7 linked regions of the Macaca fascicularis genome follow. The protein of the gene in region 1 interacts with the protein of each later gene in a biochemical or structural test. Links are inferred from orthologs where the notes say so. Each region holds a gene or a part of one and is shown in the gene's direction. Other genes may lie near its edges. The genes, in order: UBE2L3, TRIP12, RNF216, UBA7, RNF144A, HACE1 and UBE3C.

What was found.
Region 2: the proteins of UBE2L3 (region 1) and TRIP12 form a complex in vitro, tested with the Homo sapiens proteins (6 studies listed by BioGRID). The link is inferred for Macaca fascicularis from reciprocal best matches to the Homo sapiens genes UBE2L3 and TRIP12.
Region 3: the proteins of UBE2L3 (region 1) and RNF216 form a complex in vitro, tested with the Homo sapiens proteins (5 studies listed by BioGRID). The link is inferred for Macaca fascicularis from reciprocal best matches to the Homo sapiens genes UBE2L3 and RNF216.
Region 4: of the proteins of UBE2L3 (region 1) and UBA7, one has a biochemical effect on the other in vitro, tested with the Homo sapiens proteins (2 studies listed by BioGRID). The link is inferred for Macaca fascicularis from reciprocal best matches to the Homo sapiens genes UBE2L3 and UBA7.
Region 5: the proteins of UBE2L3 (region 1) and RNF144A form a complex in vitro, tested with the Homo sapiens proteins (3 studies listed by BioGRID). The link is inferred for Macaca fascicularis from reciprocal best matches to the Homo sapiens genes UBE2L3 and RNF144A.
Region 6: the proteins of UBE2L3 (region 1) and HACE1 form a complex in vitro, tested with the Homo sapiens proteins (8 studies listed by BioGRID, with this or other methods). The link is inferred for Macaca fascicularis from reciprocal best matches to the Homo sapiens genes UBE2L3 and HACE1.
Region 7: the proteins of UBE2L3 (region 1) and UBE3C form a complex in vitro, tested with the Homo sapiens proteins (6 studies listed by BioGRID, with this or other methods). The link is inferred for Macaca fascicularis from reciprocal best matches to the Homo sapiens genes UBE2L3 and UBE3C.

The regions. Positions count from the first base shown.
Region 1 is NC_088384.1:31,559,586-31,563,684, reverse strand, and holds the start of UBE2L3 (ubiquitin-conjugating enzyme E2 L3), read left to right. Parts: upstream 1-1,299; 5' UTR 1,300-1,325; coding exon 1,326-1,352; exon of another isoform or gene 1,353-1,878; intron 1,879-4,099. UniProt on the Homo sapiens protein: Ubiquitin-conjugating enzyme E2 that specifically acts with HECT-type and RBR family E3 ubiquitin-protein ligases.
Region 2 is NC_088386.1:125,855,031-125,859,163, reverse strand, and holds the start of TRIP12 (E3 ubiquitin-protein ligase TRIP12), read left to right. Parts: upstream 1-1,333; 5' UTR 1,334-1,402; intron 1,403-1,585; exon of another isoform or gene 1,586-1,673; intron 1,674-1,945; coding exon of another isoform or gene 1,946-2,041; exon of another isoform or gene 2,042-2,052; intron 2,053-2,556; exon of another isoform or gene 2,557-2,677; intron 2,678-3,187; exon of another isoform or gene 3,188-3,286; intron 3,287-4,133. Other genes in the region: FBXO36 (F-box only protein 36), read right to left, coding at 1,946-2,041. UniProt on the Homo sapiens protein: E3 ubiquitin-protein ligase involved in ubiquitin fusion degradation (UFD) pathway and regulation of DNA repair.
Region 3 is NC_088377.1:45,377,961-45,382,202, reverse strand, and holds the start of RNF216 (E3 ubiquitin-protein ligase RNF216), read left to right. Parts: upstream 1-1,442; 5' UTR 1,443-1,566; intron 1,567-4,242.
Region 4 is NC_088376.1:112,842,881-112,846,974, reverse strand, and holds the start of UBA7 (ubiquitin-like modifier-activating enzyme 7), read left to right. Parts: upstream 1-1,294; 5' UTR 1,295-1,460; coding exon 1,461-1,516; exon of another isoform or gene 1,517-1,528; intron 1,529-1,602; coding exon 1,603-1,771; intron 1,772-1,847; exon of another isoform or gene 1,848-1,869; coding exon 1,870-2,004; intron 2,005-2,084; coding exon 2,085-2,191; intron 2,192-2,514; coding exon 2,515-2,605; intron 2,606-2,709; coding exon 2,710-2,845; intron 2,846-3,045; coding exon 3,046-3,143; intron 3,144-3,235; coding exon 3,236-3,382; intron 3,383-3,766; exon of another isoform or gene 3,767-3,795; coding exon 3,796-3,978; intron 3,979-4,092; exon of another isoform or gene 4,093-4,094. UniProt on the Homo sapiens protein: E1-activating enzyme that catalyzes the covalent conjugation of the ubiquitin-like protein product of ISG15 to additional interferon stimulated proteins (ISGs) as well as other cellular proteins such as P53 in a process termed protein ISGylation.
Region 5 is NC_088387.1:115,097,577-115,101,076, reverse strand, and holds part of RNF144A (E3 ubiquitin-protein ligase RNF144A), read left to right. Parts: intron 1-3,155; coding exon 3,156-3,363; intron 3,364-3,500. UniProt on the Homo sapiens protein: E3 ubiquitin-protein ligase which accepts ubiquitin from E2 ubiquitin-conjugating enzymes UBE2L3 and UBE2L6 in the form of a thioester and then directly transfers the ubiquitin to targeted substrates.
Region 6 is NC_088378.1:70,355,138-70,359,350, forward strand, and holds the start of HACE1 (E3 ubiquitin-protein ligase HACE1), read left to right. Parts: upstream 1-1,413; 5' UTR 1,414-1,668; coding exon 1,669-1,744; intron 1,745-4,213. UniProt on the Homo sapiens protein: E3 ubiquitin-protein ligase involved in Golgi membrane fusion and regulation of small GTPases. Acts as a regulator of Golgi membrane dynamics during the cell cycle: recruited to Golgi membrane by Rab proteins and regulates postmitotic Golgi membrane fusion.
Region 7 is NC_088377.1:198,429,970-198,434,171, forward strand, and holds the start of UBE3C (ubiquitin-protein ligase E3C), read left to right. Parts: upstream 1-1,402; 5' UTR 1,403-1,737; coding exon 1,738-1,803; intron 1,804-2,176; exon of another isoform or gene 2,177-2,411; coding exon of another isoform or gene 2,412-2,453; intron 2,454-4,202. UniProt on the Homo sapiens protein: E3 ubiquitin-protein ligase that specifically catalyzes 'Lys-29'- and 'Lys-48'-linked polyubiquitin chains.

The DNA.
Region 1 (4,099 bases):
GCTCACTGCAAGCTCCGCCTCCCGGGTTCATGCCATTCTCCCGCCTCAGCCTCCCGAGTAGCTGAGACTACAGGCACCCGCCACCACGCCCGGCTAGTTTTTTGTATTTTTAGTAGAGACGGGGTTTCACCGTGTTAGCCAGGATAGTCTCGATCTCCTGACCTCGTGATCCACCCGCCTCGGCCTCCCAAAGTGCTGGGATTACAGGCTTGAGCCACCGCGCCCGGCCGAAACCCACTGTTCTTAGAAATGGAGAAAAATGTCCAAGCCCAGTGACTCACACCTATAATCCCAGCACTTTGGGAGGCCAAGGTGGGTGGATTGCTTGAGGTCAGCAGTTTGAGACCAGCCTGGCCAAAAATGCTAAAACCCTGTCTCTACCGAAAATACAAAAATTAGCTGGGCATGGTGGCAGGTGCCTGTAATCTATGCTACTCAAGAGGCTGAGGCAGGAGAATCACTTGAACCTGGGATTCAGAGGTTGCAGTGAGCTGAGATCATGCCATTGCACTCCACTCTGGGTGACAGAGTGAAACTGTGTCTCAAAAAAAAAAAAAAAAAAAAAAAAAAGAGAACTCCTTAAGAAGGTCTGAGTATATTCTGAAGCTATGTTCTTCTCTCTTCTTTGCTCCCTGAGGTCCAAACCAGTGTCACCTCTTTGCCTGAACGATTGCAACAGGTTTCCAAGTGGCCCCTGCTCCCCTTCTTATCCTCTTACCCACCTCCATTCCCCATTCCAATCAGAGTACTTTTTTTTTTTTTTTTTAAGACGGAATCTCTGTCGCCCAGGCTGGAGTGCAGTGGCGTGGTCTCGGCTCACTGCAACCTCTGCCTCCCAGGTTCAAGCAATTCTCCTGCCTCAGCCTCCTGAGTAGCTGAGATTACAGACGCCCGCCACCACGCCCGGCTAATTTTTTGTATTTTTAGTAGAGCCACGGTTTCACCACTTTGGCCAGGCTGGTCTGGAACTGCTGACCTCGTGATCTACCCGCCTCGGTCTCCCAAAGTGCTGGGATTACAGGCGTGAGCCACCGCGCCCGGCCAACTATTTTATGCAATCAATATTTATTATTTGCCTACTACGTGCCAGGCACTGGTTGTAACTGTCATCTGATTGGACGATCCGTAAACGCTGCGGCTCAGCCTGTGCGGTTCACTTGTGTTCCTCCACGCGCCTCCGAGCACGCTGGGAAGCATACAGTAGGTGCTCTGCTCCGCTCCTGTGCCCCGCCCCGCGGCCCCTCCCCCGCTCCAGGAAGTGCGGGGGCTCCAGCCGCCCGGCCGGCCGCGATGCATTCTGGGGAAGGAGCAGCACCAAATCCAAGATGGCGGCCAGCAGGAGGCTGATGAAGGTAAAAGCCATTCTCTGGCCTCGGTCGGGCGTGGGGCGGCGTCCCAGGCTCCGGACCCCCGAGGCAGGCAGCGGCCTCTCAGGGCGCTGCCGTCTGGCCTCCTGCCCTACACGGCCTCGTCGGTTCCCTGGGCCGCGCGCAGGCTCAAGGAGCTAACGGGGCTGGCCTAGGCCGCAGCCTGGGCGGGAGCGCCAGGCCGCGCTGGGAGCCACTGTTGGCCCCTCAGCCCGGCCCGGGGCGTTCACGCCACCCTCCGCCCGGAGCGTGGCCGCGTCCCCCTGTCGCGGAGGCCGCGGTCCGACGCGAGGGCGTCGTTAATGTGAGAGCCCGGTTGGGAGGCTCCAAACTGAGCGCCTTCGGGGAAGGCCCGAGCGCCGGAGCCCCTGCCCGGAGCCCGTGCAGCGGAACCGCCCCGCCCTGGGCCTCAGCGAGCCGGGCTTGCAGCTCCGCTTGGCCCAGCCGCAGCTCGGAACTCTGGAAGGCTCGGGCTAGGAGAGCGGGGAGGAGGCCAGGCGGCCAAAGTTAGGTCAGTTTGTTGGTGGGTCGTTTGGAATTGCGCTGGGTCCTAGCAAACTGTCGCCTTGTGACTGCAGAGTCACACAGCGGGCAAGTTCCAACTCCAGGAAGGCCTGAGGTCGGCCCCCATCGCGGCGCGGTTCTCCTTCCCTCTCCTCCACTCAGTCATCTCGATCTCCCTTCCCTGATAAAGCAAAATGCCATTTTTTGGGGGGTAACGGTTGGTTTCAGTCGTTCGAATCAAAACGGGCCAAAGTTTATAATAATAACTTGGTACTTTGGATCTTGAATGCAGCAGGGTGCTTTCTTGCTACTTGGCACCTTTTAGTGAGGAACACATTAGCTAAATTGGCTTAGTTCTTTTGCCAGTGGATTTGCCAACGTCCTCCGGAGTCCCCTCCGCCAGCGTCTGTGAGTCGGCGGCTGGCTAGTGCAGCCGGCCTGCAACGGGCCGGAAATTAAAAAAAGGCCCCGGAGCCGGTTTCCTGAGGGGAGATAAAGAGCTGGGGTTCGTTCTGGGCAGAGCAGTGTTTGGTAGAACTAGACATTGAACTTGGAGCCACAGTCTCTGAGCCCTCCCTGCCTCCCTGGGAACGTTTCCTTTCTTTTGTTCCCTAAGGGCTAGAGAGGACATTAACTTTATAAAACTGGAGTGGAAGTGGGCACAAAAGAAAACTCAGAGGACTTCTGACTTCTCATCTCTTAAGCTAGTGACACCACCATTCACCAGATAAGGGGTCGGTTAATGGCTTTCTTTCCTACCCTACTCCCAGGTGCAGTCGTCCTTCAACCCTTGTGGATTTAAATTTAGAAAGTTTTCTGGAGTGCAGGCCGGGCGCGGTGGCTCACGCCTGTAATCCCAGCACTCTGGGAGGCCGAGGCGGGCGGATCACTTGAGGTCAGGAGTTCAAGACCAGCCCGGCCAACATGGTGAACTCCTGTCTCTACTAAAAATATAAAAATTAGCTGGGCGTGGTCGCATTCGCCTGTAATCTCAGCTACCCGGGAGGCTGAAGTGGGAGAATCGTTTGAACCTGGCAGGTGGAGGTTGCAGTGAGCCAAGTTTGCGCCACTGCACTCCAGCCAGGGCGACAGAGTGAGACTCCATCTCAAAAACAAACAAAAAAAAAGATTTCTGAAGTGCATGACTTGCTTTCTAATGTTACTGAAATTACTCTGAATCTGTATCCTCATCTCTTGGGTGCCCTCCGGAGTGCTCTCCTCCCCAGACTACCCCTCACGGACACCAGAGTTCTTTTAAGGCAGATAACTCAATTCTTTTCACTCCTGTTAAAAATGTCTATGGTCTTATTGTCCTCAGCAGTTAATCCTAACCTCTTACTTGGCATGCAAGACCTTTCTGAGACTGACGGAAAGCAATCAGTTGAGCCTCACCTCCTGCCCTTTGGTTTCCCACCATTCTTGCACCTAATCGCAGTAGCTACTATTTTTCCAGCTTTTACTTCGTGCTTTATATGCATGATCATGTTTAATCCTTCCTGTGAAGTAGACATTGTGATTTCCATTTTGTCGATGAGAAAAGATTATTTGGCTTGCCCTGGGTTACCTAGCTAGGGAGAGTGAGCTGTGATCGAACTGGGTTCTTTCTCCAAAGCAAAGTCTCCTGCTCTTACTTGCCCTCTGGTGTCTCTTTGCACGTGTCGTTTGCTCTGCCCCAAAAAAGTTGCCTTCTCCTCACTTCTGCCTTCCAGAGAAGTCCCAGGTTCAACTCCAATGCCAACTGCTCTGTGAGCCCCTGCTTCACATCCCCCTTCAGAATGAGTTGTTTCCTCCTCTGTGTGACCACAGCACTTTATGTTTCTCTTTGAGCACTTGTCACAATCTCTTTGTGTTACAGACTTGTCTTTCCTGTACTGGGTTCTGAGATCCCGAAGGGCAGGGATCTTGACCTAATTCATCCTGGAAGCCCCCTAGCCTATCCCAGTTGACCCAGTTTGGAATCCCCAGGCTCTCAGGGGTCTAAGAGGGGACTTATTACGGGTTTAAAATTATTACTCTGTTTCTAAAAAAATAGACCTTGGAAAAGAATTTGTAACATTAACTGAGTATTTATTAAATATTAGGTTATTTACATAAGTTATCTTTTCAACACTCCAAGTTAGTGTATTGTCGTTTTTATGTTTTTACAAATGAGGACATTGTGAGGTTAACTAGGTTAAGGGAGTTACCTAAGGTAGAATCGTAGAATGTGGTGGGGAGGGAGAAGACAC
Region 2 (4,133 bases), on another chromosome or scaffold:
AATGTCAGGATCATAAATCTTAAAGCTGGCCAGGCGCGGTGGCTCAAGTCTATAATCCCAGCACTTTGTGAGGCCGAGGCTGCTGGATCACCTGATGTCAGTAGTTGGAGACCAGCCTGGCCAACATGGCAAAACCCCGTCTCTACTAAAAACACACAAAAAATTGGACAGGCGTGGTGGTCGGCGCCTGTAATCCCAGCACTTTGGGAGGCTGAGGCCGGTGGATCACTGGAGGTCAGGAGTTTGAGACCAGCCTGGCCAACATGGCAAAACCCTGTCTCTACTAAAAACACAAAAATTAGCTGGGTGTGGTGGCACACGCCTGTAATTCTGTGCTGGCACAAGCCAGCTACTCAGGAGGCTGAGGCAGGAGAATCGCTTGAACCCAGGAGGCAGAGGTTGCAGTGAGCTGAGTTTGCGCCACTGCACTCCAGCCAGGGCAACAGAGGGAGACTCCCTCTTGATAAATAAATAAACAAATAAATCTTAAAGCCAATGGAAAAATCAATAATCCGTTTAAAAAAGGTATGAAGCCGGGAGCGGTGGCTCATGCCTGTAATCCCAGCACTGTGGGAGGCCGAGGCAGGCGGATCACGAGGTCAAGAGATCGAGACCATCCTGGCCAGCATGGTGAAACAAGGTCGCAGTGAGCTGAGATCGCGCCACTGCACTCCAGCCTGGCGACAGAGCGAGACTCGGTCTCAAAAAAAAAAAAAAATGTACAAAAAAGGATGACTTTCAGTATTTCATAAATCACCAAATGAGCAAAAACCCCTAAAAACAGTTTAATTAAAAATTTGAGGCTGACTCTGGGCCCACTGCCTACGAATTAGCCCTGCTCCGCAAGGAGCAGTACTGTTTTTTAAAAAAATTTTTTTGGACAGTCTAATATTACATTTGTAATATTTCTAAATCTTAAAAAAATATATTAACATTTATATTTTAAAAGATGCTTTTAAAAATATAAAAAATTAACTCATTACCTATTTTGTTTAAGGGCTCCTGGGAAAATCGAGGGAATGATCAATATGCACACCAAAACAAATATATACAAACTTCTAAATTTCATTTTATAGGAATAGAATAGTATCTATTGCAAGCGCAGGGTGCATGAATAACTCAGTGACAGGCATAAGCTCAGCCAGGATTAGAAAACGTCTTCCCAATGGAGGCCCCGCTCAAGTTGAGAATTTCATGGACACAGTAAATCATCCAAAAGCCCACCTTCAATAACCAAAGTAGGCATAAAAATAGGCCGATGGTTACTTTGGAGATAATATAATCCTCGGTCTTATTGTTGTGGAGCAGATGTCATTATGGGTGGGGCTGAAGCGCAGAGCTGCTGAAACATTTTTATACCACCACCCGCACACTTTCAATGGGATAGAAGGGACTCAAAAAGGTAAGAGAAGAGCTCCCAATCGTCAATTGCTACTAGAAATAACTAACTTTTGATGTGGCCATGGCACGCGTAAAGGCCACAAAGAGATTTATAAAATTCTCCATGATTAATTCCTATCCTGGAAAAGAGGCAATCTCCTTTTCCCCTCCCTAGCCCGCTCCTCCTTGGGACACTTGGTTGAGTCTTTCTTTCCCTCCTTCTCACGCTGAGGTGAGGCCGCACGCAAGCCTGGGACGCCCGTTTTCCTCTTCGCGCGGAGGGAACTCTACGGGTAGGAAGCCGGGGTGGCGGGAAAGGAGCGCGCGGCACCGCGGGGAGGCAGAGAAGGCTTGCCAGGGACTAGCCGGGCTCGGGGAGAGCAGGGACACGCGGGCCGCCGGACCGAGGAGGCCGAGGTGACGAGGAAAATCTCCCGGCGCGGAGCCGGGACCGGGCGCTTCCGGCGGGCTACGGCTGCTCTCGGCCTAGCACAGCCTGGGTCCCGGGCCCCAACCGGGCCAGGTAGGGAGTTAGGAGAGAGGGTAAACCGGGGCTCGCACTTGCCTGAGACCGGGTGACCAGTAACTGGTAATAGTCTTTGCTGGGCGCCGGGCCTTGTCCTACAGTTTCAAACAGAGTCTCCGGCAGCCTCGACGCCATCTTGGGACGCCACCGCCGTCGCTAAGACAACCAGGAAGGGGCGGGGCTTGGTCGGGGTCAAGGGGCCAAAACCCTAGTTTAAATTGAACCACGCTTATGAGCTGGCAGAAGGATTTCTAACTTGGGGCGATTCTCCCCTTCTCCAAGGGTCTCAGGGAACCCTGATCCGTGAAATTTCCAGCTCCAGGTCCCGGGTGACCCGAAGGGGAATTAGTTCCTGCTACCACGGAGGGGAGGGGGTGATCCCGGCGGAGGGATACCAAGTGGAGCTCCACAGTCCCCTTCCTGGTCCCTCGAAGGGATCGGGCGGAGATCGGAGGCTGCTGGGAGAGTCGAGCCGGGCGGTAGGGGAGGGAGGGGCGATGTGATGGGCCGCCAGTAGGCAGCGGGGCCGGTCCCGCGGACGAGCCCGTCAACCAGAGCCCGAGGGCAAAGTAGTTCCCCGAGGGTGTCAGAGCGGGCGGGGAGGGAGGCGGCACGGGCGGAGGCGCACGCCGAGCGCGGTGCTGCGGCTCAGCTGATAATTGAAGGAACCCGGAGCCGCCGCTGCCGCCGCCGCTGGGGGGGGTGGGGGGAGCTAGTGGAAGTTACTGCCGCGCCACCGAGTCCGGACCGGAGACTTTGGGGCCTAACTAGGTAATTGGGGCGCAGCTCCGGGCGGCGGGGGCAGGCCTGGGGGGAGGGGGCCAGCTGAGGGTTTGGGGGGGCGAGGGGAGGAGCTGGAACAGAAAGTCCCAGGAAGCCCGGTTGTGTCATCGCCGCGATTCGGCCCCCGCTTGGCCTGCTCCCGGCGCCGGCGGCGGCGGAGCCGCGGAAGGACCGGGCCGGGGGTGGACGGGAGAGACGCTCGAGGGCCGCCGCGGCCGGAGGGACCGGGGCCCGGCGGGAGGCAGGGGTCTCTGGGTCCCTCCTCCGGCTCCCCGCAATGAGAAGGGCCCTTCAGAGAACCGGGGTAAGGCTTGCGGGTGTTGGGGAGCTCGGCGGGGGTCGAGAGGGGCCGGAAGTGGGCTTTGGAGCTTGGAGGGTGTCTGGGAAGAGAGAAAGTGGGGGGCCGGAAGTGCAGGTGGGGGGTGTGAAGACGGCAAGGGTTCCCCGGAAATGGGACGAGGGGCCCGGAAATTGGGAAAGGGGAGGCTCCGGGTCTGTGGACGGCCCGGAAATGGAAACTAGGGAGCAGCTCGAGTGACAACAGTTGTGGGAAGCGAGGGTCAGAGGAGGGAGAGGCCGGAGTGACTTTAGACCGCAGTAAGGGGTTTCCTGCCCAGGGGGACGGCGAGGGACGGTTGAGGGAGGGCGAGCCCGGAGACGGGGTCTGCGCGGGGCAGTTTTTTAAGCCGTGGGAAGTTGAGGCTGAGGGAGGATGATGACGAGGGGGGCATGCAGGGAGGCCTAAAGAAGCCAAGAAACTTGACTGAGAGGAATAGAGTATCCTTTTAAATAGATCAGAATGGAAATTGGTGGTAGGTGGGTTTAACTAGGACTTGGGGGAGGGAGGTGGGCCAATTGTCACCCCAATCGTATTAGCATTCAGAGCGAGTCAGGCGATTAATTTATTTATATGTGGATTACATAAAACCTATTACAACGTTTGTCCATCAGTGCAGCCCCTCTCCTTCCTTCTCCATAGTGAGTGGGTTTTCTAGTACAGGAACAAGTTGGAGGGGAGTTCGAATAACGAAGGTAGTAAAACCTCAAATCCTGTCTTCCTCAGCGTCTTTCCCTTCCTCAGAATAAGAAATCCTTCGTTTCTTAGACGGAAAAATACGGAAAAACATAAAAGCACATGTCAATGGGGGGAAATCACACGTTTGAACTGCTGGTGGGGGACAGGAGAGAATTGGTTACCTTACGTGGTGAGGAGAGAACGGAAGGGGCAGCTTCCAAACCCTTAAGACAGATCTGTTTGTTTTTTTGATAATGCTGTTTTACTTTGTCTGGGGGAGGTTTAGCCTAAGCATCGAGTCTGGTGGTGGGCATAGTTTAATTGCTTCGTTAGTTAACTCGGGGAGGGAATGTGTCTGTGTGTAAAGGTTGGGCCGGTGCGGGGGGGCGGGGGGGCGGGTACGGTTAATAGCGCAGTGAATCCGTTCTA
Region 3 (4,242 bases), on another chromosome or scaffold:
ATCACCATGTCCGGCTAATTTTTACTTTTGTAAAGATGGGGTCTCACTCTATTGCCCAGGATGATCTCAAACTCCTGGCTTCAAGCCATCTTCCCACCTCCACTTCCTAAAGTGTTGGGATTACAGTTATAAGCCACTGTGCCCAGCCCAGACTCATTTATCTAATTACTGACTTGACATCTCTACTTGAAGGTGTACTTAGCAATTGTTTTTTGTTTTTTGATTTTTGTTTTTGAGACACAGTCTCACTCTGTTGCCCAGCCTGGAGTGCAGTGGCATGATCTTGGCTCACTGCAACCTCCCCCTCCTGGGTTCAAGCAATTCTTGTGCCTCAGCCTCCCTAGTAGCTGGGATTACAGGCATGCACCACCATGCCCAGCTAATTTTTGTATTTTTAGTAGAGACGGGGTTTCACCATGTTGGCCAGACCGGTCTCGAACTCCTGACCTCAAGTGATCTGTCTGCCTCGGCCTCCCAAAGTGCTGGGATTACAGGCGTGAGCCACTGCGCCCGGCCAGCAATTATTTTAAGAGTAGGGATCTTGCTATGTTGCCAAGGCTGGTCTTGAGCTCCTGGCCTCAAGCGATGCTCCCGCCTTGGCCTGCTAAAGCGCTGGGATTATAGTCATGAGCCCCTGTGCCCAGCAGGAGCAGTTTTTTAGTCAGTTATTCACTTGCCCACTAAAACCTAAACTTCCTGAGGCCAGGAACACATTGTACTTTTTTTTTTTTTTTTTTTTTCTCTGAGATGGAGTGTAGCTCTGTTGCCCAGGCTGGAGTGCAGTGGCGCCATCTTGGCTCACTACAGTCGCTGCCTCCCAGGTTCAAGCGATTTTCCTGCCTCAGCCTCCTGCGTAGCTGGGATTACAGGCATCCGCCACCACACCCGGTTAATTTTTTTATTTTTGGTAGTGACGGGGTTTCACCACGTTGGCCAGGCTAGTCTCCAACGTCTGACCTCAAGTTATCCGCCCGCCTCAGCCTCCCAAAGTGATGGGATTACAGGCGTGAGCCACTGTGCCCAGCCACGGGACCCACTTTACTCTTAATTTCCCCAAATCCTAGAACAGTGCGTGGCCCACAGGAAATCCACAGAATATATCTGCAGAATGAATGAATGGCTTGCCAAAAGAATTAGGGCAAATAAGTAGATATCGAGTAAACGTCCACAACCACCTACCCCATACCCTTTTAAGCTCTAGGGAGATGGCGGCTCCTGTGGGGTCCGGGATGGTGGTCTCCTTTCCTTTCATCCTTCCGCCTCGTGGGGGAGTCAAGTCTCCGCAGGCGGAGAGCCCGGATGCAGGCGCGGCTAGGCGGCCCTCTCTGTGGTGAGCCCCCGGGTCCCTCCTCCACAGCACCCGGAGTGCCTCTATGGTTCTTCCTGTCCTTAGTCGGGAGGGGGCGCTGTGCGCAGGCGCGAGGTGACGCCGCGGCAGGACCGGAAGGAGTGTAGCGGCTGCCTCAGCGGCAGCGACGGAGCTCGCAGCTGTGGCTTCTGAAGAGTAAGCGGCGCGGTACCGAAGGCCGCCGAACCCGCCTGGCTAGCCGGCGAGTTGAGTGGCGAGTGAGTGTCGGTCGCGGGGCGCGCTTGAGCTCCTGGGCGGGTCTGTGAGGCAAGGCGGCCTCTCTGCGGGACGCCTCCGTGGAGCTCCGTGGGTGGGGGCGGGGGCGCGGGCCGTGAGGGCCGCCGAGCTGAGGGGCGCGGGCCGAGGCCCGGGCGGGATCGGGCCAAAGGACTGGGCTGGGCGTCTCGAGCCCCGTGCGGAGGCGAGGCGGGAGCGACAAAGGCGCTGAGCGACTGGGCGACCCCCTCCCGCCTCTTCGCGAAGTTTCGCGGGCCGGCCCTTTGGGTCAGCTGCGCGAGGGCGATAGCCCGGGAGACCGCGCTTCCCTCCCCCGGGCCCGAGGTCGCCGCGGAGGCGGGGTCCGTGCACCCGAGCGCGGCCTGGAGAAGCGGCGGGAGGCGGCCGGTCCCTGTGAACCCCAGCCCAGGCGGGCGGCGTTTTTCCACCTCTCCCCTCACATCTGGAGCGGGTGTTGTTCCGCGAAAGTTGGCGACTGTCACCGGGCACTCGCGAGGGCGCCGCAAGTGCGTCAAACCCTTCTACGGGGCGCTGGGGGCTGGCCCGGCTCGGGTGCCCGGGCGCTGGGCAGGGAGCGAGGCCGCTGTCCCCGCGTCGAGGTGGCCCGGCTCCCGGTGTAACGGGACCAGGGATCCAAGACTTTGGGCCACTTGCAACCAATCCTGGAGCGTGCGCGGCGTACGGGTTACAGAAATTTCTGACAAATCTGCCAGGGCTCTGTGCGTCCCTGAGGACCTGGCTAGCAGTTGTCCCCGGTACTTCGATCGTGCAAAAAGAACGTTCTTTTTTCTGTTCTTTTTTTTTTTTTTTTTTTTTTTTGAGACGAAGTCTTGCTCTGTTGCCCAGGCTGGAGTGCAGTGACGCGATCTCTGCTCACTGCAACCTCCGCCTCCCTGCGTCAAGGAATTCTGCCTCAGCCTCACAGGGATTGCTTCAGCTGGGATTCCAGGCATGTGCCACCACACCTGGCTAATTTTTGTATTTGTAGTAGAGACAGGGTTTCACCATGTTGGCCAGGCTGGTCTCGAACTTCTGACCTCAGGTGATCCCTTCTTCGGCCTCCCAAAGTGCTACATAGTCTTTTCAAAAAACGTGTCAGCTGTGTTCTCCCGGGGCCCTTGGGCCCTTCAGTAAGAAGCGCCCTGGCTGAAAACCCACATGTTTACCTACAGAGGAAGCACTGTGATGTAAGGGTGAGCAGGGCAGAGGGCCTCACCGTGGCCCTCACACACAGGTGGCTCCAGCTTGGCCAGGCCATTTTGCGCTCGTGGGCCTGTGCCTCACCTCAAAAATGGGGTTTCTTCCCTTATGAAGAAGACCCATGAATTAATAATGGAATTGCCAGGAATGCTAAAAACTAAGTTTGGTGTATTGTTTTCAAGCTGTTACTCCTGGAAGGGGCTGGGTTGGCATTGTTTTAGAGGTTAGGAGCCAAACATAGCTCATCTATTCTCCAGCTGTTTTTAATCCTCCAGCTTCCTGCAATAGTCAGGCACGAGGTCTTAGAAAAATGGGTTTGAGCTGCTGTATGTTTTGGTGGGCAATAGGCACACTAATATGTATCACCTTTGTTTACTGAATGGGATGCAGGTGGGGGACCAGAGCACATCCGTGTCCCTCGGAAACGGTGGCGTTTAAATGTAATATGTCTCTTCAGTTCCTCTCTGCCCCACCCACCCCAGCCCATTGATTGAGCTTTTTTTTTGGGGGGGGGGGAGACGGAGTCTGGCTCTGTTCAGGCTAAAGTGCAGTGGTGTGATCTCTGCCCACTGCAACCTCCACCTCCCAGGTTCGAGTGATTCTCCTGCCTCAGCGTCCCGAGTAGCTGGGATTACAGGCGTGCGCCACTACGGCCGTCTAAGTTTTTTTTTTTTTTTTGAGACGGAGTCTCGCTCTGTCGCCCAGGCTGGAGTGCAATGGCCGGATCTCGGCTCACTGCAAGCTCCGCCTCCCGGGTTCACGCCATTCTCCTGCCTCAGACTCCCGAGTAGCTAGGACTACAGGCGCCCGCCACCTCGTCGGGCTAGTTTTTTGGTTTTTTTTGTTTGTTTGTTTTGTTTTGTTTTGTTTTGTTTTGTTTTTTGAGACGGAGTCTTGCTTTGTCACCCAGGCTAGAGTGCAGTGGCCGGATCTCAGCTCACTGCAAGCTCCGCCTCCCAGGTTCACGCCATTCTCCTGGCTCAGCCTCCCGCGTAGCTGGGACTACAGGCGCCTGCCACCTCACCCGGCTAGTTTTTTGTATGTTTTAGTAGAGACGGCGTTTCACCATGTTAGCCAGGATGGTCTCGATCTCCTGACCTCCTGATCCGCCCGTCTCGGCCTCCCAAAGTGCTGGGATTACAGGCTTGAGCCACCGCGCCCGGCCTGTTTTTTGTATTTTTTAGTAGAGACGGGGTTTCACCGTGTTAGCCACGATGGTCTCGATCTCCTGACCTCGTGATCCGCCCGTCTCGGCCTCCCAAAGTGCTGGCTTGAGCCACCGCGCCCGGCCTTTTTTTTTTTTTTTTTTTTTTTTTTTTTTTAAAGAGACGGAGTCTGGCTCTGCTGCCCAACTCCTGGGTTTAAGTGACCTTCGGCCTCCCAAAGCGCAAGAATTACAGGCTTGAGCCACCGTGCTCTTGCAGAACATTCTTTACACGCTGAGAAGGGAGAGAGGA
Region 4 (4,094 bases), on another chromosome or scaffold:
AATATTGATACAGGCTATAAACTCTGTGAACCTTGAAAACATTCTAAGTGAAAGAAAATAGACATAAGAGGTTACGTTTTGCAATTCTTTTTTTTTTTTTTTTTTTTTTTTTTTTGAGACTGCATCTTACTCTGTTGCCTAGGCTGGAGTACAGTGGCTTGATCTCAGCTCACTGCAACCTCCATCTCCCAAATTCAAGCAATTCTCCTGCCTCAGCCTCCCGAGTAGCTGGGATTACATGTAGGCACGTGCCACCATGCCTGACTAATTTTTGTACTTTTAGTAGAGATGGGGTTTCACCATGTTGGCCAGGCTGGTCTCGAACTCCAGACCTCAGGTGGTCCACCCGCCTTGGCCTCCCAAAGTGTTAGGATTACAGGCGTGAGCCACCATGCCCAGCCACATATATGGTAATTATTGAATGTGTTTGGTATGTTCGTTGTGGGTGATGAAAAATTATGGAACTAGATAGACGTGATGGTTGAACAACACTGTGGATGCACTAAATGCCACTGAATTGTACACTTTAAAATGGTTAATTTTATGTTACATGAATTTCACCTAAATTAACAACAACAACGAAAAAGAACTTAAGACAGCACTTGGTTTGGCTATTATGAAGTTTCGTGAGAAACAGTGGTCCATCTCCCAGAGAACTGGCCCCAGGTTCCTAAGAAGGCAAAAGGGGCCGGGCGCGGTGGCTCAAGCCTGTAATCCCAGCACTTTGGGAGGCCGAGACGGGCGGATCACTAGGTCAGGAGATCGAGACCATCCTGGCTAACATGGTGAAACGCTGTCTCTACTAAAAAATACAGAAAATTAGCCGGGCGAGGTGGCGGGCGCCTATGGCCGCAGCTACTGGGGAGGCTGAGGCAGGAGAATGGCATGAACCCGGGAATTGGAGCTTGCAGTGAGCTGAGATCCTGCCACTGCACTCCAGCCTGGGCAACAGAGTGAGGCTCCGTCTCAAAAAAAAAAAAAAAAAAAAAAAAGAAGGCAAAAGGACACACCTGTGAAGGGTACACAGGCCCTCTCTGCACTATTTTTTGTGCAACTTCTTGCAAGTCTATAATTATTTCAAAATAAAAGTCTAAAAGGAAAATAAGAACATGTATGAATGTGGCTGCCCCATGCCTCCCACCCTCAGGTCTGACACTCAGAGACTGATCACCTCTTGGAGTCCTGGAACTCATCCCAGGTTTTAGACCCTGATTGGCCTGTCTGGGGCCGGCGTCTGGAGGCAGGATCAGGAGCCTGCTCAGAGCGTAGTTTCACTTTCACTTTTCTTTTCTCCAGAGGAGCCAGGAAGAGAGCTGTGACCAGCAGCGTCCCTTATTCCCTTGGCCTTGGTTCTTGTTTGCACTAGCTACAGCAGGGCACTGGCCCCTACTGTCACCGCCTTCTAAACAAAGACCCTCTCTCTGAGCGCTGCAGCCTACTGTTCGGCCCCAGGTTTGAGGATGGATGCCCTAGATGCTTCGAAGCTGCTGGATGAGGAGCTGTATTCAAGACAGCTGTGAGGCCCGAGGTGAGGGGTGGAGAATGGGGGATGGTCTTCAGACCTTGATCTGCAACTGCTTGCCTCCTGCTTCCCATCCACAGGTATGTGCTGGGCTCACCTGCCATGCAGAGGATTCAGGGAGCCAGGGTCCTGGTGTCAGGCCTGCAGGGCCTGGGGGCTGAGGTGGCCAAGAACTTGGTCCTGATGGGTGTGGGCAGCCTTACTCTGCATGATCCTCACCCCACCTGCTGGTCCGACCTGGCTGCCCAGGTAAGTGTCCTGGGGGGCTGTGGGCTGCCAGACCAAGGTGGGGGCATGGCCCAAGAGGACTCCTGTCTTTGCTCAGGCTGCACTGGCTCTCTCCCTAGTTTCTCCTCTCAGAGCGGGACTTGGAAAGGAGCAGAGCTGAGGCCTCTCAAGAGCTCTTGGCTCAGCTCAACAGAGCTGTCCAGGTCGTTGTGCACACGGGTGACATCACTGAGGACCTGCTGTTGGACTTCCAGGTCAGCTCAGGCCTGCAGCCCTCAAGAGCAGGAAGGGCTGGGCAGTGGTTTTAGCCCTGCTGATCACAGTGTCCACCCAGGTGGTGGTGCTGACTGCTGCGAAGCTGGAGGAGCAGCTGAAGGTGGGTACCTTGTGCCATAAGCATGGAGTTTGCTTTCTGGCGGCTGACACCCGAGGCCTTGTGGGGTGAGTAAGACTGCCTGCCCGGCCTACCGTATTATAGCCAGCAACTGGCCCCATGCTGTCCTCAGCTCCAGGCTTGCTCCAGTGCCCCTCCAACCAGCCTCAGGTCTATACCAGCATGCCTTTCTGATTCTGGTTCCCAGTCCTGCCCTCTGGTTCCTCCAACCTAACCTCCAGACCTGCTCCAGTAACCCTCTCAAATTCTAGTTCCCAAGCCTCTCCTTGCATTCCTTTCCCAATTCTGGCCCTCTGGCCCTGCCCTAGTATCCCCTATCCTTAAGTACAACCTGTAAGCTGCCTCAGTGACCCCTACCACCCCATCTCAGGCAGTTGTTCTGTGACTTTGGTGAGGACTTCACTGTGCAGGACCCCACAGAGGCAGAACCCCTGACAGCTGCCATCCAGCACATCTCCCAGGTGGGTGCTGAGCTGTAGACATTCACTTGCTGACCAAGGAAAGGCTGCCAGGGCCTGTGGAAGGCAGGTCCAGGCACCCCTGAGCCAAGCCTCCTCCTACTCAGGGCTCCCCTGGAATTCTCACTCTGAGGAAAGGGGCCAATACCCACTACTTCCGTGACGGAGACTTGGTGACTTTCTCAGGAATTGAGGGAATGGTTGAGCTCAACGACTGTGATCCCCGGTCTATCCATGTGCGGGGTAAGCCAATCCCATTCCAACTCCAGGCGCAGCACCCAAGCCTCCACTGGGAGTGAGCACAGCCTGGCCCTTGGAATGGGTTTTTCTCCCTCCATCTTCTATAGGGTGCAGCAAGGTCTGGGACACAGATGCAAGATAGGATGGGGTGTGGGAACTACTCAGGCTCAAGGATCATACTGACTAGACTGGACCTCCCTCAGAGGATGGGTCCCTGGAGATCGGAGACACAACAACTTTCTCTCGGTACTTGCGTGGTGGGGCTATCACTGAAGTCAAGAGACCCAAGACTGTGAGACATGTGAGTGCAAGTGCATCTGAGGTAGGGGAGCTTGGTTGACTTGAGGGGCCCGTAGCATTCTGGACTAGACCCTGAGCCAGGTGCCCTTGCAGAAGTCCCTGGACACAGCCCTGCTCCAGCCCCATGTGGTGGCCCAGAGCTCCCAGGAAGTTCACCGTGCCCACTGCCTGCATCAGGCCTTCTGTGCACTGCACAAGTTCCAGCATCTCCATGGCCGGCCACCCCAGCCCTGGGATCCTGTGAGTGGCCCTGTTGCTCCCACCCCCAGCCTCTGTCATTTATTGGGGTCCCATCTGCCAGAGGTAACAATGACCGTTCACAAATCCAAGTTTGATCTTCCAACACTGCAGCCTTTAGAGTAGAGGCTGGTTCCATGGAAGTGCCAGGCACACATCCTGGGGACCCCTGCTACACCCTGATGCCTCAGATCTGTGTTGGAAGCTGCACTTAGATTAGTGAAGCCTCTTGTGCTGCTGTCTGGTACTGGACATCCTCTGGTGGTGCTGCACAGGCTGGCAGCAGGGCCAGGCCTTCCCACCCAGGCTTCTGCTTCCTCTTCTGTGGAACAGGGTAGATGGAGGGTGGCTGGAAGGATTTGAGTCAGGAGTGGAGCTCAGGCTGGGGCTACTGTGCCACAGAGTCCTACCAACAGGTTGATGCAGAGACCGTGGTGGGCCTGGCCCAGGACCTGGAACCACTGAAGTGGACAGAGGAAGAGCCACTGGAACAGCCACTGGATGAGGCCCTAGTGCGGACAGTTGCCCTAAGCAGTGGAGGTGTCTTGAGCCCTATGGTGGCCATGCTGGGTGCAGTAGCTGCCCAGGAAGTGCTGAAGGTAGGCACAGGCATAGGTGTGGGGGGTACTGGGAAGATGTGGAGATCGGTGTGTGTGTCAGAGGGCACCCAGCACCAGATAGCAGCCCTGGAGGCTTCACCAACCTGGGTGTAGCC
Region 5 (3,500 bases), on another chromosome or scaffold:
TTAAAACAAAGTAAAGCTCAGAGAGATTAAATAATACAACGGGTTATCCACCTGTAATCAGGCCCGACTAGAGCCAACACCTGAAAATGTTACCATCTCACAGTAGGATCAAACCCAGCATTCCAGCCCCACGCCAGGCAGCAGCCCGGCTGGGCAGGGTAGTAACTGCAGGGATGAGAGGGGATGCTGGGTGCACTGTCATCTGTCATGTGCTTCTGAAAGGAAACTGTTTTAAAAGGAAAGTCACCTTTTTAAAAAGTCTTAGGCGTTTTTAAGCAGGGAGTTCTTAGAGACCCGCTTCATTAATCTGCTATAAATACACCTCTGGGAGATAAGAATTAACATTAGTTTCCTCTAGTGTGCCAAAAATATATTATTTGCTCTGTTTGAAAATATGTCTCATACACTACACACGTATGTAGTACGTGTTGGGGAGGATAATGGGGAGGATAATGCAGAATGTTAATAGACATCTACACCTGAGCCTGGGGCCGTGTTCACAGGATGTGACGTGCCGTGGCAGCACAGGAAGCACGTTTGCAGTCAGCAGTCTGAGCAGCCATTTGTCCCTGACCTTTTCGATGAGGAATCTGTCCGTATGAGGACAGGCAGTGCCAAGTCACAGCTCTGTGAGGACAAAACTAATAAGATTTAAATCGTTCCCATGGAAACCTTAGCCAGGTCTCCCCTGCATGCTGTCCTGGGGGGCCTTTCGTGATGGGGGTGCATAATAGCATCTCCCACTCTTGAGCCAGTAGGCTGGGCAGGAGGCGGTGCATGACCATCACGTGCATGAAGAGACCGAGACCCAGCTTTGGGACATCTGCTCCTTGCTGATGTCAGAAGCTCCTCACCGCACAGGAGGGGTAGGGACAACAGTGGGACGGAAGGGTCCCTGGCAGGCAGCACTGCCCTTCTGGGTCTAGCCCCAGAGCTATATGGGAGGAGAGCAAAGAGTGAGCGAGGATTTCTCTTCGCGCGCAGTGTATTGTTCAGTGCACAGAGCACTTGCATCCTCCTGCAGGGCTGGGCAGACACGGGCCTCCTATCTCATCAGGGACAACGCTGGGCTCACCCCACAGCATGCACAGACGGCAGGCAGCGAGGTGTTGGAGGCATCGCAGGTACGGGATGGGAGCGTGACCCAGGCCAGCTGCCTTTAGCCTTTGGCGTTTCCTCCTCACTGCTCAGTGTGGCGCTCGGTGCCCCAGGCCGGCACGTGCAGCCCCTCCTTGCTTTGCTGTGGACCCTCAGCTCAGGGGAGCGCCAGGCATCTGCCCCCACACAGGTGACCCACAGACAACAACTACATTTTCTCAAAAAGCCACTTGTCAGAACTGACAGCTAGGAGCATTCTTAGGAAAGCAAATGCAGAAACTATCCACAAGTAAGAGAAGAGCTAAATGTGTCCATTCACTCAATGTGAGGAGCACCCTGGGGATTTTAGATTATTCTAATGAAGATAATTAGAGTAGAGCACCTGTTCCTGACCTCCAGTGTTCCTCATTATTATCAAGTTCTTCTTAATTTTCTACCACCCCTAACATTCGGACGGTTTTTGTGCTGTTGATTAATTCACGCTTTAAAAAAAAGGCAGGGGGCAGCCAGATGAGATCAAGGGTCAGCCTGCCATGGCCAGTGGGCCAGATCCAGTCCGGCCAGTGGCCTGCTGCTGTCAAGTTTTGCTAGAACATTCATTTCCAGGTCACTGTGTCTGCTTTTGTGCTGCAACAGCAAAAACCCAGTAGTTACTGCAGAAACCCAGAAACAACTTGGTCCTCGACTTCTATGATGACTATCCGACCCTCTACAGAGGAAGTTTGCCAGCCCCTGGATTAGATGACTAGATTAGTTTAAAGCTAGACCCTACACAAGATGGTTTCTAGAGCGCTGAATCTGGCTTCCCCGTGTACTGGGGGAACATGTAAACACACAGAGCCTTACACGTACATATGCGTGTGCACCGTCAGGACACCCAGCTGGTGATTTGTCATTCATTTGCTGCTGGTCCCGTGGCAATGCGTGTAGGTGAAGTCCTGGTCCACGTGTGGTGCCAGCCTGTTGTGGATTCCAGTGAGAGGAATCCCATGTGTGATGCAGGTGAGCGGGAGCTGCCCGGCTGCCAGTCACAGGGCCCGGACATTGGCAAGGACTTGTCATCGCCTTTCAAGTCGTCTCTGAAACTCAGTTGTCCCGACAGACGACGACTTCCCAAGAAGAGCCCCGCTGAAAACTTAGAAACCAGTGGCCCACCAGAACGCCTTTGGAAATAGCCCACATTGCACTGGCCTCGGAGAGCTTTCTGGCGGAGCCTGCCTTCTCCCCGGGGTGGCCCCTCATCGAGAATTCGGCGTCATGCCGGACAAGAGGGAAGATTAAATGAACAACCAGTCTCCTTACAAAGGGCAGCCAGTAATTTAAAGAAATGTAATTTTTGGACAAGGATGTGAAGAAATAGATGTGTCAAGGTGTCCTGTTTTTAGAAATAAGCTTCTTGGCCAATTCCATAAGATTGGGCTCTTAGAAATGTGCGCTGTGATTCGGAGAGAAAATCTGGCCCTTGAAGGGTTGGTTTCACTCCGTAGTTAACTCATGGCTTGGATTTGAGAAGGGGAGGCCATCTTAGGCAGGTGAACTATTTGGTTAGAAGAATAATCCAGCCATCTTCTTCCCTCTTCCTTTCCGTCTTCTAACAGCGTTTTCCTGGTGCTGGGTGTGTGCCCAACACGGGCCATCAGGGGCCCGGCTTCAGAAAGCTGTCCCCTACGGGAGGCAGATGAGCTAGCACGATGTGCGTTGCTCAGAGAAACCTGACAGGCAGGTGGGACAAGCTTTCCAGAATGTGGAGGCCTTTGAGCTGTGAGCTGAGTCCCAGAGGCAAGCAGGGCTGACCCAGGGCTCCAAGGGCATTCCAGGGACAGGAGCAGCATTCCTGAGGGATGCCTGGGGTGTCTGGAGGTCTGTTGCATGAAGGGAGAGGTTGGGAGGTGGAGGTGGAAGGGTGACTTGGGCAGTGCTTCGGTTGGGGCTGGTGGTTCTGGCTGTATTACCTGGATGTGTTTCTCTCTGTCCGTGCACTGAGGGGCTCCTTCCTCTGAAGCCCACATGACCCTCTGGCTTAAGTTTGATTTGCCCATTTTGTCTCCCTATACCAGAGGTGCTGTTTGATCCCTGTCGGACTTGGTGCCCAGCGTCCACCTGCCAGGCTGTGTGTCAGCTCCAGGACGTGGGGCTGCAGACCCCCCAGCCAGTGCAGTGCAAAGCCTGCCATATGGAATTCTGTTCCACCTGCAAAGCCAGCTGGCACCCTGGCCAGGGCTGCCCGGAGACCATGCCGATCACCTTCCTTCCCGGGGAGACCAGGTACCCTTTGTACACACTCTGCCACAAAGGCGTGGGCTGTGGGCCAGGAGAAGCAGGCAGGCATGTTTCTTCCTAAAAGTGCCGTTACAGTGTAAGTGGCTGTGGCTCAGTCAACCCTAACACACACTGTACCTCTT
Region 6 (4,213 bases), on another chromosome or scaffold:
CTGCCTAAGCCTCCCGAGTAGCTGGGATTACAGAGGTGCTCCACCACACCTGGCTAAATTTTATATATATATATATATTTTAGTAGAGACGAGGTTTCACCATGAAGACCAGGCTGGTCTCAAATTCCTGACCTCAAGTGTTCCGCCTGCCTTGGCCTCACAAAGTGCTGGGATTATAGGCATCAGCCACCGTGTCCAGCCTCTGGTATTCTTTTGAAACTTTGACCTCTACCACCTTGTTGCCAGACTGATTTAGGTGTCATCTGATTAGGTGAAGACTACAGAGGTCTTTCCCGAGCCTGTGGCACCACTGGCACAAATGGTCACTAGCTGGAACTGATTTAGGACGGCACTGGCAAGGAAAACACAAGCCAACCACCACCTGCCCCTTCATATCCTGAAGGGGCAGGTGAGACTCTCTTTCTCTTGGCCAGCCAACATACATCATCGACGTACATGTGCCCATTCATTACAGGAACAGCTTTGCCTCTTTGAGGAAAGAGGAGCTGAAAAAGACAAGCCTTTTGCTTCTCCCTCACTCCAGCATCATCTTGGCACTGGTAATATATCCAAGATATTCATAGTCAGTGGCGTTAGCCAGGCTCATATTTACCGCTTTGATTGGGTTAATATTTTTTCAAGTTCCAACTTCTGTTGTTTCAATTATCAAGTGTTCAACTTCTGTGCACAGCTTATGAATATGATTTTTCGCCACTGAGTTCATTTCTTACACAATGTAGGTATCCAAGTTTTTTGTAACTTACAAAGTCACATCCTTTGGATTTCCCACTAGGCTCTGTCATCACATTGACATTTTAGCATTGTACCAAATAAATGAAAAAATTTTTTCAGGTTGTCATCATCCACATCTTCCCCAGAGCTTTAACTTTGTGCCAGGTGCCTTGTTAAGTACAGGGATCAACACAGTTCCAAATTAAATGTCCCTGCCCTCGTAAAGTCGCCAGGCAGGAAAAACAACTAATTAAGCTATTGTCAAGTTATTTACAATGACGACAAAAGCATATTGTGCTTTTGGATTTGTTTGATTTTATTACTCTTTAAATTTGACATACGAAAATACCATACTTAAACAGTTCATGTACCTGGAACAAAGGCACTAATACAGTACTAGAGAGGTGGTGACGGATTTAAGAACAATTATGCCAATTTACAATCTGTTTTACAGTAAAGTTACAGAATTGGAGGAAGCTACTCCTGTACAACTTTGGAGGGTAGGAGGAGCAGGGCGTGACAATGCCTTTCCAGGGACTTAGGAATACGCCCAGTCGCTGCGTGGCTTCCAGCACACTCAGCCGCGCGCCCGCGTGGGCGTGGCCGGGGCGCCCCCAGCGTGACTCCGCCCAGGGCGCTCGGTTCCGCGAGCTGGAAACTACAGTTCCCAGAAGGCCGCGCGAGCCCGGGAGGGACGCGGCGGCGGTGGCAGCAGGAAAGGCGCGAGCGGAGGCGGCGGCTGGTGTCCCCTAGGTGGTCGGCCCCGCAGCAGCCGGGCCCCCGGACGCAGGACGTGGCCCCAGGTAGCCCTTGCAGCTCAGTGCTGTAGCCAGGGCAAGCCCGCGCCTCCGCCTGCTGGAGTGGCCCGGGCGAGATGTAGGGCGCTGGGCGCGGAGGCCGCCGGTGCGGCGGGGGATCGCGGAGGGCGCGCCGAGGATGGAGAGAGCGATGGAGCAACTCAACCGCCTTACGCGCTCTCTGCGCCGCGCGCGCACCGTGGAGTTGCCCGAGGGTGAGCGGGGTCGTGGGGCCGGGCTGTCCGCGGGGCTGGGGGCGGCCGGGGGAGGGGGCAGGAGCTCCGGACGCGTCAAGGTTGGGTGGAAAAACTAACCGAAAGCTGAGAAAACGCCCACTTTTACTTTCCAGAGCTGAGAGGCGGCCCCGGGCCCTTGACTCCCTTGGCCCGCCGCTCCCACCCCGGCAGGTGGGAGTTTGCGGGAGGAAACTGGGTTGGTGGGGGTTCCGCTGCCGGGAGGAGCGAGACAAAGGTCTCTCAACGTCTGTCGATTAGGGGTCTTGGCAAAGAGGCAGGAATACCAGCCAAAGACCCGAGACCCGGAGTCAGAAAACATCATAATTGCGGGTCATTTCACTGTCGCCGGAGATAGAGATGATCCAAAGATAGTGTTTAAGCTGCATCGGGGGGCCAGGCGGGCTTTTATTTTTGTTATTTTTAAAAATGTGGGGCACAGCCTTGTTTTGATAACAGTAAGACAAAGGGTTGTCAACCATCAAACAGGTACTCTTAAAAGTACTGTGTGTGTAAACACAATACATTTTTCTTTAATATGCATGCCTGACTTCATTTATTCATCAGACTAGTATTGAGTGGGCTAGCTGGGAACTAGGACGCATCTGCAAATAGGGATAAGGCATGGTGCCTGAAGTTCAGGACTTTTAGTTCAGCATTCCAGGGTTCCTTCAGAACAGGTAAAACTCTACTAATAACGAGAGAAAATAAACAGTTTTGTTTACAGCGTCAGGAATTCAGACGTTTTAATGGTGATGGGAGATAGCAGTGCTGCTTCTAAGAAGCTTTTGGCTCTTTATGCCCAAGTGAGAGAAGGGTTGGGAGGAGGTTATAGCTGGTGAATAGCTTTTTTCTTAATTGTAGTAGTTTATCTTATTTTTTCAAAACTCTCTTTGAATTGCTGCTGGGTGATTTGTAGGATAGGGAAGGGGACCTTGGCAACGGTCATGAAAGAAATGTGGGATTGGGTACTTCGGCGATAAGTTTCTTTCTTTTATAGAGATGAGGCCTCACTATGTTCCCCAGGCTGGTCTTGAACTCCTGGGCTCGAGCAATCCGCACCCTGCTCCGCCCCCCCACAAAGTGTTGGGATTACAGATGTGAGCCACCGCGCCTGGCCTGGGGATAATCTTCTTGAGAAAATGGTCTCTAGTTTCTATTTAGAATTCAGATTTTGATAACTAGATTCAAGCTTCAATTTTTTCTTTATTTCCTTTCCAAATTCCACATTTGAATCCATTTCTTCAGTGCTACTCTTGCTTATTTTTCGTAGTCAAATTATTGGTATAGGTTGATGAAGACTACATGTATAATTTATATTGTATAGTTTGAATCTCGATATTTTTTACATAAATGTGATTTAGAAGACTCTGATAATGTTACTTGGTTTTAAAAGTAACGTAGTTTCATTGTAGAAAATTTGGAAAATAAAAATAGAAAAAGAAATGTCATTCCACCACCCAGTTATAAGCAGTGTTACCATTGTTACTTCTTTCTCTTTCTCTCCCTAACAAGTTAACGTCATATTGCATATAGCCTTTTATTTTGTGTTTAGAAAACATCCCAAATGTTTTTTTTTTTTTTTTTTTTTTTTTTTGAGACAGAGTCTCGCTCTGTTGCCCAGGCTGGAGTGCAGTGGCCCAATCTCGACTCACTGCAACAGGCTCCGCCTTCGGGGTTCACGCTATTCTTCCGCCTCAGCCTTCCGAGTAGCTGGGACTACAGGCGCCCATCACCACGCGCGGCTAATTTTTTGTATTTTTAGTAGAGGCGGGGGTTTCAGCGTGTTGGCTAGGATGGTCTCCATCTCCTGACCTCGTGATCAGCCTGCCTCAGCCTCCCAAAGTGCTGGGATTACAGGCGTAAGCCTCCGTGACTGGCCCCCAATTTTTTTTTTTTTTTTAATATTCTTCAATATGCTTAATGACTTCGGAATTTCCTAAGACGCACGTAACAAATGTTGAATCTAAATACTGTTTTTAAACTGATTTTATGAGAAACAGCTTTATATTTAAGACATAGTCTGTCTCTAAATACTTCCTTAGGGTTAATTCTCTCAAGAAGAATGTCTACAATACATTTCTAAAGCTCAACGTATTATTTTCTCAACTTACTTCTTGGAAAGTTCCACCAGCAGTCTGAGAGTGCCCAGAAACTAGAGTTTGATAAGTAAAAGTAAAACTTCCCCACATATAGGCAAAAATGGCATCTTGTTTGCATTTGCTTTTCTTTGATTATAATGAATTTGTTCATTTTGTTACTTGAATTTAATTTATCTTTGTCTCTAAGTTCTGATGAGTATTTGAATTCTCTGAGCTTGGCTCTTTCAAGTATATCATACATATAGGAATATATATATGAGATATATATATCATTTCTACTGATACAAATCCACATTTGTGCTTACATTTTTGTGCTTACATTTTAAGGACTGAATGGAAAAGAAACTCT
Region 7 (4,202 bases), on another chromosome or scaffold:
TGATCCACCTGCCTCGGCCTCCCAAAGTGCTGTGATTACAGGCGGTGCCAGGACTGTATTTCTTTTTTTCCTTTTTTGTTTTGAGACGGAGTCTTGCTTTGTCACCCAGGCTGGAGTGCAATAACGTGATCTCGGCTCACTGCAACCTCTGCCTCCCAGGTTCAAGCGATTCTCCTGCCTCAGCCTCCAGAGTAGCTTGGACTACAGGTGCGCACCACCACGCTGGCCTAATTTTTGTATTTTTGGTAGAGATGGGGTTTCACCATGTTAGCGAGACTGGTCTCGAACTTCTGACCTCAGGTGATCCACCCGCCTTGGCCTCCCAGAGTGCTGGGATTACCGACGTGAGCCACCATGCTCAGCCGCAGGAGGACTGTAGATGGTATCATACTGTGTGTTGAAATTTTGCCAAGAGTAGATTTTACCCTCACAAACAAACACAAAGAGGGTAGTCATTTCACAATGTGTCTATGAAATCTGTTGCATACCTTATATACAACCAAAAATCAATTTTTAGAAATTGGCTTCAATCGTGTATGATATATATGTATATGCACATGTATATGAGAGATTATTTATGTATACGTATAACAAGACACATGTTTATGTATAGGTGGTTCCCAACTTAAAATGGCTCAACTCACAATTTTCTGACTTTGTGATGGGTTTATTGTAGTATTAAATACATTTTCAACTTACAATATTTTCATCTTACGATGGGTTTATCAGGACAAAGCCCCATGGTAAGTCCAGGAGCATATTTATGCATACACAGGTATGTGTACATGATACATATTGATATGTATTGATGCTGTGTGTGTATATTGATGCATATGTGTGCTGTGTATGTATGAGGCAAATCTGCGCATGTCTGTGTACATGGTAAATATTTACGTCCGTCTGTGCGTGTCATAGACATAGAACAGGTGGGGTGTAAACAGACGGGCTGGGCCTAGCTGCTCCTTTCCCGCCTCACTCACTCGAGTCTGGCACCAGATTGGCCGCTCCGGGTGCCGGCCCCTGCACCCCACCCTGCACCACGCACCCTGCCGTGCACCCCACCCCGGCCCACGCCTCGCACTCCGCCTTCCCTGCATCCCGCCCCGCACCCAAAACCTCCCGCCCCCCGCCGCGCCCCCCGCCGCGCCCCCCGCCGCGCCCCCCGCCGCGCCCCCCGCCGCGCCCCCCGCCGCGCCCCCCGCCGCGCCCCCCGCCGCGCCCCCCGCCGCGCCCTCCGCACGCACCAGGCCCCGCCCACTCCGCCGCGTGCCCAGGTCACCGCCCTCCTCCCCAGGCTCCAGCGCGCCTTGCGGGGCCGCGCACGCTGGCGGAGCCGCCGGGAAGAGCGCCGTGGCGTCGATGGCGGAGGCGCGCACGTCTGCAGGGCCGCGCACGCAGTGACGGCTGACCGCCATCTTCCCTCCCGAGGCGGCAGTTCCAGGTGCAAGCGCCGGGTTTGCTGCCCGCTGGGCGCCCCTGCAGCGGCCGGAGCAGTGGCCGGCGTGGATGAGGGGCAGGCGAGGCAGGGCCGCCCCTCCAGTGTTGCCGCCCCTCCCGCCCCAGGGCAGGGCTGGGAGGGTACAGCCCGGGGGCGGGCTCGGGTCGCCTCCCGGCCGCCGCGTCCTCGCTGCCCTGGGCCGGGCGGGCGGGCGCCGAGAGCCTCCCAGCCCGCCCCGTGCCCCGCCCGCCCGGCTGCTTCCGCGGCGGCGCCGTCCGCACATGGGCTAGGCTGCCAGGATGTTCAGCTTCGAAGGCGACTTCAAGACGCGGCCCAAGGTGTCTCTTGGCGGCGCGAGCAGGAAGGTGAGGCCCGGGTTGGCGGGGCTCCTTCGGCTCGGGACCTGCGCGGCCGGGGCTCGGGGCTGGACTCGGGGCCTCCCTGGCCGGGACTCGGGGCTTCCTCGCCGGATCTCGGGTCAGCCCCAGCAAGGACTCGGGGTTGGATTCGGGGCCGAGACTTGGGGCCAGGACTCTGCCTAGGACTTAGGGCTGGACTCGGGGCCTCCCTGGCTGGAACTGGAGGCCGCGCCCGTGGGGGCCTTGCCTGTCCGCTGCGCTTCGGGACCCGGGCGCGCTGGCCGTGGCTCCCTTCCATGCAGGCGGCCGGGGAACCCTGGCATGCTTTGTGCCACCCAAGGTGAACTTACCCTTTCTGGGTGTTTGCTTTCAGAAATGGGGCTTTCCGTGCTCGCTCCCGCATGGCATCAGGGAGTGGCTGCTTTTCGAATGCCACCTGAAGGGCGTTTTCGGTTGTAGAAGGTGAACGGCGCGCATTTGCTGATGTCGATAATCTCTGAAGTGGAAGCAGAACGCCTCATGAATAGCCACGTGTTTGAATCCAAGACCAGGGCAATTATTCGCTACCAGCCTCCCGGAAACTGTGGAGAGACTCCGGACTTGTATCTGTTGTGATGGGCCATAAGTTGTTCGCATGGTCATTGTTTAGAATAAGGGTAGGCAAACCATGACGCCTCTGTTCTAGTCTAGAATTTCCAGCTGTCTGTCCCTGAAGACGGGCATCGGTTGGTTGGTTCACTGGAACCGCTAAGTCTTTGAATGCTGTGTGGTCTTGCTCCCGCCCCTCCCTTCCCACCCCTTCCCATCATTTCTGAAATGTTCTTTAAATTGCTTCACCTAGTTTTTGTTGTTTGTCAGTATATTCTGTATATCACAACCACCAGGTAGGCACGTAACGCGGAGTGGATGCTGGCAGGCCAAGGAGGAACTGCTGTTAAGATTGTGCCATGGTGCTGTGTTTGGTAGTTTCTGAGGGTAGAAGGGAACCTGGGTCAAGAGTTGGGAGAGAAGTGTGCTGATTCTTTTTAAGCTCTGAGGTTTGTGTGATGGTGATTGCTTGCAAGTCGCTGTGCTCCACAACTAAGTACTGTGCGGTTACAGGGTGGGCGTGGTAGCACCTAGGGGCTTCCACGTTAATGAAAATTTCTTAAGAGATCAAAGGATTTCTCCGGTTAGAAGAGACTTCCGAGAATCTCTGGACCAAATTTCCTTGCTTACAAGTTGGGAAGGTGAGCTGCAGAGCATTTGAACGAGTGCACATTCACACAGGAAGCTAGTGGCAGACCACCTGAGACTCCATGCCATTTTCATAGCGCGGCGCGGCCTCTGTTGCGGGCAGGAACACCCCACGGGCCATGGATGTTGGTCCGTTTTCACCAAGGAGTGCATCTCTGCTCTGAGGGAGTGAGGTTTCTTATCTGTTGATCAGAATCTCAAAGGAAGATACCCTGAGCTGTGTGAAACAATCACCCCTTTAAAAACAAAACACTTTTTATTGGAGTATAAGGTAAGATACAGTCAGCTTCACAAGCGCTAAGGAGATCCTTGTGCAAGTGAAATTGAAGAGGAAGGGCGTCTCAGCTGGAGGCTAGCTTTAGCCCCATCTCACCAGGAGCTTGCCGCAGTTGGCCATAATTGCTGCAGAGGGGCTGGTGGCTGTAGGTTCCCCCCCGCCCCGGGATGAGGGTGGGAGTGTTGCACTGCTGACCCTGAGCCGAGGGCCATTCTTCTGGGAGAGAGTGGCAGTAAAGAGCCCTTAGTAGCAACTGGCAGCAGCTGGGGCATGGGTCCCCTGGCCTGGTTAAGGAATCTGGGTGAGGACCCAGCTGTATGTACAGCTTGAAGGATTTTTGCATATGGACACTCTCCTTTAGAGGGAATACCACTCACATCAAAGGAAGACCATTCCCAGCATTCCAGAGGCTCCCTTGCACTCTCACCCTTTAATTACAGTCATGTGTGACTTAAAGAGGGGGACACTGTCACTAGGCCAATTGGTTGTTGTGGGACCATCAGAGTGCACTTAACACACACCTAGCTGGTGTTGCCCACTACACACCTAGCGGCTTGGTACAGCCAGTTGCTCCTGTGCTACCCTCCTGGACAGCGTGTTTCTGTACTGAATACTGTAGGCAACTCTTAATGCAGTGGTGAATATTTGTGCATCCAAACATAGATACAGTAAAAATACAAATTATAATCTTATGGTACCACGGTGTTTATGTGGTCTGTTGTTGACAGACTGAAAGGTCATTATGCCGGGTATGTCTGTATTCCAGCCCCACAAAGGTGACTGTCCTCCTGACCTCCGTTACTGTAGATTAGCGTTACCTGTTGAACTTCAGGGTCATGGAGCCACTTGCCGCTTGTCCTTTGTGCCTGGCTTGTTTGGCTTGGCTTCTGTC